2 linked regions of the Schizosaccharomyces pombe genome follow. The protein of the gene in region 2 interacts with the protein of the main gene of each other region in a pairwise test. Each region holds a gene or a part of one and is shown on either strand. Other genes may lie near its edges.

What was found. Proteins that work in one complex are often made in the same cells at the same time.
Region 1: the proteins of rrp9 (region 2) and gmf1 interact in a two-hybrid assay, tested with the Schizosaccharomyces pombe proteins (one large-scale study listed by BioGRID).

What each region holds. Positions count from the first base shown.
Region 1 is NC_003424.3:2,023,702-2,026,552, reverse strand, and holds gmf1 (actin regulatory protein gmf1), read right to left. Parts: upstream 1,303-2,851; 5' UTR 1,219-1,302; coding exon 793-1,218; 3' UTR 501-792; downstream 1-500. Other genes in the region: cytochrome c-heme-linkage protein Cyc2, read left to right, coding at 1-390; protein Ddb1, read left to right, coding at 2,111-2,851.
Region 2 is NC_003424.3:3,327,613-3,331,872, forward strand, and holds rrp9 (U3 snoRNP-associated protein Rrp9), read left to right. Parts: upstream 1-1,728; 5' UTR 1,729-1,749; coding exon 1,750-3,324; 3' UTR 3,325-3,604; downstream 3,605-4,260. Other genes in the region: DNAJ domain-containing protein Erj5, read left to right, coding at 1-197; geranylgeranyltransferase type 1 beta subunit Cwg2, read right to left, coding at 328-1,395.

The sequences.
Region 1 (2,851 bases), 1.3 Mb from region 2:
AAACTCGATTGTACGAAGTACCCAAGAATCGTAGCTATCGTTGCAGGAACAGGAATTGCTCCTATATATCAATTAGCTCAGTCTGTTAAATCCCCAGTCGATATTGTATACTGCTCAAGGCCTGGTCAGCCCCCTTTGCTAAAAGAAGAATTGGAAAAGGAATGCCCAAACGTAAGGGTGAAGTCCGTCCAAAATCGTTTGGTAAACATTCATGACATTTTGGATTGGGATAATGTTACAGTTCCTTTAAAGGATACCCTTTGCATTGTCTGCGGTAGCCAGAAGTTTGTTTCTACAATTGCCGGACCGAAGGCTGATTATGGCGCAAGACAAGGAGAAGTCAAAGGACTTTTATCAAACAATCCGTTTGGGAAAGTTTGGAAGCTTTAGTTTAGAAATTTTTGGCTTAAGATTTTGGGTTGCACGATCTTTGGACAATTGTGCATAATACAAAAACGATTTTTTTGTTTATCTTCAAATAATTTATTTTTACCGATTTGGAAATAAATTTATACAAATAAGGGAACTCTTAAACGTTACGTGTTATCAATGAAATGGAGCGGTTTTCTTAGGTAATGGAGAGAAAATAAAAAAAATAGTATTTAAAAAGTTTCTAAGTGTATAAATTTTTATCCATTAAATCTAATTGTTATTGAGGGTTTATGCATCTGCTGCTAAGCAGGTATAGTATGTCAAAAAGAAAGCCCATACAAGCAAAATATCTTTAAATAATTAATTGCATAAAATGTGAACGAGGGAAAGGTTCATTTTCAACTCGCATATAAACAAGCATTAATGCAAAAACTCATCAACTGCTTCACTAGTAATATCTTCAGAATCTCTAGCTTCAAATACTTTGTGCACCTGCGACACATCTTGAAACCAGACTTTAGCAGAAGCATAAATCATAGATAAGTCATTTGGGGTAGCACTTGGTCTCCAGTATATCATAAACAATGGAGTACTAAGTCGACCATCTGTGGTTTTGGTAGGATAGGAAACAAGGATAAATCTAGGATTTGTTTCCGAGAGTTCATCTGCGACCTCTTCAATACTCTGTAAATCCATGATTTCTCCATCGGGAACAATCTCCTTAGTAGCTTTATCAACCTTGAGAATGAAAGCATACATAACTGATTTCTTCAACCGCAAACGAAATCGATCAATTTCTTTCATCGTGGTATCCGAAATGGTGAACATACGAGCCTCTGATGACATCTTTCTTGTTAGTTTATAATATTTATGTAAAACCACAGCAATAGCCAATTAAGGAAATTTAATTTCGAGGGTGGTGCTTTTGTTGGGTTGAATTAATACCGTTCGTGCAGAATCCTAAAAGATATTTAAATTCATGCTAGGAGTTAAAAATTTATTTTTGAGTTTTGATAGATAATTATTGATTTTTTAAATACAAATTATTCATCAATTTTATTATATTCAAAAAGTCTATATCCACGTATGTGATATCTTTGAAGTTCGTAAATTGGCAAATTTAAGCATTGTGTTATATTTACAACTTGATAAATAAAAAAAAAAAAAAAAAAAAAAAAAAGAGGATACTTAAGGATAAATATTATATAATACCTAAGATTGAACGAACTAATGTTTTTTTTTAATATTCCTAAGAATATCCTGTTAATGCAATCACTTTTTTAATAACATTCATAAAGTCTTTGGTCATCGGGACTAGCTAATAATACTTTACGACGAAGCGATAAAAATGTATTACTTTAGCAGCTCGAAGTCGAGCGGTAATAAATCAAACACTTAAATTTAAGTACTTATGTAAACTTTACTCTATAATAGGCTTAGGTGTAAAAGTTTATTTTCTTGCAAAAAGCACATACTACACCGCACCATGCTATGTCTGGAGTAGTAAATCTGGGTTTCCCACTTCACCCACTTGGCATTTAGAAAAAGTCCCAAAAACCATCAACATCGTTGTTCGATAATCTTAACGTCTTCCAAAATCCAAACTTAAAATATATAGGATAATTTGTACAGCAATTTGAAGCCCTTTTACTTTTGCTTTATGCTGACAATATTTTAAAAACGAGAAGCCGAGGCAGTGTCGCCATTTACTACAAAGCTGGTATTGCCCTTGTAAGAAATGACTTATGTTACTTATTTGCACAAGCCTTCTTCTATAAGAAACGCCGTGTTTTGTAAATTTGTCAATGCATCCTCCTGGAACGTAATAGTGGCTAAAGTAAATTGTTTGGAAGTCTATAGCTATGAAAATAATCGATTATGTTTAATAACTTCTGCTAATATTTTTGCGAAAATTGTGAATGTAAAAGCTTTTAAGCCTGTTTCATCCCCGACAGATCATATAATCGTTGCAACAGATTCCTTTCGTTATTTTACACTTTTTTGGGATGCCAATGATAACACTGTTTCTAATGGAATAAAGATACAGGATTGCAGTGAAAGGTCTCTTCGGGAAAGTCAATCTGGACCTTTGCTGTTAGTGGATCCATTTCAACGGGTTATTTGTTTACATGTATATCAGGGTTTACTGACTATTATCCCAATTTTTAAGTCAAAAAAACGATTTATGACTTCTCATAACAATCCTTCATTGCATGATAATTTTAGTGTGCGGATTCAAGAGTTAAATGTTGTCGACATAGCCATGCTTTATAACTCATCCCGTCCATCTTTAGCAGTTCTCTACAAGGATAGCAAGTCGATTGTGCATCTTTCTACGTACAAAATAAACGTTCGTGAACAAGAAATCGACGAGGATGATGTTGTTTGTCATGACATTGAGGAAGGTAAATTGATACCTAGTGAGAATGGTGGTGTTTTTGTGTTCGGGGAGATGTATGTATACTATATAAGTAAAGAT
Region 2 (4,260 bases):
TTGCAAGAGCACCTGCATCGTCCGAAGATACGGATAGTGATGGACAGATGGAAGATGAAGAGAAAAGTGATAGTGTCCATAAATCTAGCTTCTCCAGTCCTTCGAAGAAAGAGGCTTCCATAAAAGCCGGAAAGCGACGAATGAAAAGACGAGCAAATCGAATTCCACTTTCTAAAAACACGAATAGAGAAAATTAAAGTTACTGAGTCAAATTTATATTGTTAGAGTGTCTTTAGGTTTTTATAGTCAAGTGATTGATCACGTTGTTTCTAAGTTAATAGTCTATTGTTTAGTTTTCTTCGACAATTCATCATCATAATATAGTTATCATTTCCCCTTGGCTGCTTGAATACAGTCTCTACAAATGTTTATATACTTGGAAGTCATATGTATATCTGCATTTACTTTAGGAAAAGACTTATCATCTTGATAAGCCATTGCATATAGACCAAGTGCAGAATGTAAAACATCAGGAAACTCACCTGGTGTTTTAGAAAATCCGCCCAAAGCATGTTGAGCATGCAATAATAAATATTTTTCCAACTCACCCCCATCGATAAAAGGCAGAGCATCAAGGAGTTTTAATGAACTCAAAACCCAATAAGCATAACAGGTGTCAACGTCTTTATTCGTCCTTCCGTTTAATCCTCCAGATGATAATTGTCTAGAAGCTAACCATCTGATAAGGCGTTCTACTTTAGGCACACAATCCATTAAGTTATATGATTGATTAGAAGTATTCAAAGAGGAATTTGGAATCATTTTCAATATTAAAGACCATGATGCTAACGCGCAAAATGTAGCTCCAGCATGGGCTTCGCCGTATGGTAACAAAGAAAATCCGCCTTCATAGCGTTGACAGCTTTTAATATATTGGATAGAACATAAAGGGTCAGACAGAGAGAAATCAAGAAGCGAAGCAATAGTCGTAGCCATATATAACTGTCGCATGTCTTGGTCCGAACATGATGGCACAGCAATACTTCTAAAATGACCCTGCGAAGTTTTGCACAACTCCACAAAATTCTTAATTAAATCGCGGTCGATACGAGAAAGATTATCGCCAAGAAATAAAAGGCAACAAATTGAAAACACAGTCCCAGCTAATTGCGGCTCCTGTTCGAATGAGATGGGTTGAATGCCAGTTCTATACGCCTGAAAACCGGAGTATTTGATTCCTTTAGATTCTTTCGTTACATAGTTTTTGTAGATCCACTCGATCCAACTTTTTTTATCGTCATCATCTATGGTGTTCAATGCATTTAGCAAGTCTAATCCTAATAAACAAAAGAATGCTAACACTGTTCTTTCGCAATCGTGTTCTTCGTATGGAGTAGGAAATAGTATAAGATGTCTCTTAAAGAAAGCAATATGTTTAGCTCTTGTTAATTCCATTGGACCATAAATAGATGCGCCGATAGCAGAATTCTATAGATGTCAATAGAATAGTAAGTCTTAAAAATCTATCGAACAAAATTGGTACAAGAACGATAATTATTTTAAGCTTAAAAACAAAAAAACGCGACAAGGTATTTTGATTTATAGTAATGAGCAGATATATTTCTGTAATGATTTGTTCATGAAAAGAAATTCGGTGAATTAGCTCGGTAAACTTCGGAAATTTCTTGTATGGATCACCGGACTTTTTGTGGAGTATGCTCGGAGAATAAAATTAAGTCACCGGCAGTATACCATATAGGTGTTTGAAGATACAGAAATTTACGAACCGTTGGTACCCTTAGAGAAAGCATGTCTGATCCTTTCTTTACACGTCCAGAGCATAGAAAGAGGAAAGCTAGGAGTGCTACTTCAAAAAGAGAAAAAGAGAATCAAAAATTGGAGAGGAATGGACCCGCTAATGAAGATTTAGCATCTATATCATCAGAATCCGAATTCAATGGCTTTGAGGACGAAATTGATGAGGAAAATGAAGATACTTATGAGACTGCAGCAGAAAAAAGGCTTCGATTAGCAAGGGAGTATCTAGACGAGGTCAAGAACGAACTGGTCGAAGATGGAGGTTTCGATGCGAAAGAAGTGGATCGTGAATTGCTTGCAAGTCGATTGAAGGAGGACGTATTAGAAAAGAAGGGACAAATGTATTTAGACTATACTTCTAAAATTAATCCTGATGTAAAAATCGAAACAGCTCAGCTGCGAGGCCGTCACATGCGTCCGCTAGTTGGAGTGGTAGCATACGAAAATTTTGTTTATAGTGCTGATAAATCGGGTTTGATCCAAAAATGGGAAGCTTTGCAAGAAAAAGATACTGAAAATAGGGAAAATGACGATCATGAAATTGGGAAAGCTATAAAATTGCACTTCAGACCGATCAAATTCTCTCGCAGCCGAAGAGGAGAGAACGATCATGTAAAAGAAATCACTTGCCTAGCAATTAGCAACGATGGTCGTTGGATCGTTACTGGAGGTTTGGACCATCGAATTGTCATTCGTGATAGTGTGACACTTGAGCCTCAACATTGTTGGAAACATCATCGGGACGCAGTAATGGGATTAGCCATGCGAAGAGGAACCAATGAAATGTTTAGTTGTTCCGCTGATCGATCCATCAAGGTATGGTCTTTGGATCAAATGTCTTATATTGAAACGCTATTTGGACATCAGGATGTTATTTTTGGAGTGGATGCATTAGCTCGGGAAAGATGTGTCAGTGTAGGTGGTAGAGATCGGACATCGCGTCTGTGGAAAATTGTTGAGGAGTCTCAACTGGTATTTCGTAGTGGAGGTACTTCTATGAAAGCAACTGCAGGCTATATGGAAGGTAGTGTGGATTGTGTGGCAATGATTGATGAAGACCATTTCGTTACTGGAAGCGATAATGGAGTTATTGCACTTTGGTCTGTTCAACGTAAGAAGCCTCTTTTTACATACCCACTTGCTCATGGACTAGATCCCATTCTAGCTCCTGGGCGTCATTCCGCTGAGACGTCTCCAGATCCTGTCACTATACCTCCTCAACCTCGATGGATCACTAGTTTGGCTGCTATCCCATACTCCAATCTATTTGCTTCTGGTTCTTGGGACGGAAACATCCGTTTATGGAAGATAGCGGAAGGCCTTCGTTCTTTTGAACCTTTAACAATCGCTACTCCGTTGTCAGTTTATGGCTGCATCAATTCCCTTTCACTTTCTTTGCAAGGAAAAGGTAAACAATCAGAGGTAAGAGTATTCGCTGCTTGCGGAAGAGAAACTCGCGTTGGTCGTTGGAAAACCTTGCGGGGCATCCCTAATTCAGGCTTCGTGTTTAATATCCCTTTAACGGTTATTCCTTCTGTTACAGATGGTGACGAGATTGATGAGTAGTAAAGTTGCAAAATAAAAGAACTTAGCTTTTCATTATTTTTCATATAAGCGGTTATGAAGCAGATGTGATGGATCTCTTATTACTGTGTTTATCTTTTCCTGGTGTACAAAAAATTTTAATTCATGGAACGGAATTTTGGGTTGGATTTAATTTAAAAGTTTAGATAAAATACGGATTTATTAGGAAAAAATATACAAAAATGAAATTGATTATTAAAACGAACAATGATGAACCATGTCTTTCAATTCGGGCTTTTCTATTTGGGTTCTTTAAATGTTTTATAAATTGAAAAAAGAAAAAGAAGGATGAAATAGTTTGTAATAAACGAATGAACTTTCTTCTTCATCAAATGCCGTGCATTGAAATGGTGCATAATGAAATTATTGAAGCAAAATGAAAATATCAAAATCGTTAAACCGAAGTTTTGTTTATGAGTATTGTTAAAATCCTATTAAGTTTTACTAGTTCTTGCTATCACTTTGTTTACCTCTTGCCCCAAATTGTCCTCAATATTACTTGTCTTAATAATGGTAATCAAAAGCCCTTTTTTTAGTTTTTAGTATCTTATAGATTCTTTAATGGAGTATAGACCTTTTAAAAAAGTCGTTCTTTGGAATTCTCCTAGACTCGTCAAAAATGAAATACATGTATCTTTGCATGAAAAGTTGATGGACTTAGCAAAAAGCGCATATTGGCATAATACTCTATTTTTTAATTTGGAATGAATTTTCTTTAACAAATGACAGAACCTAGAATCGTAAATATTTAAGATTCCTAGGTTGTTTCCACTTTATAACTTCGACTGTACTTTCTTGACAAACCAAAAAACGGTTTTTTAATATACTAATATCACTAAATGGTACTTATTTGCTCCCGCAACTACGGTTATCTTTGGTTTTCCAAATCCCGTTACCGTGACACTTTGCAGATATGGT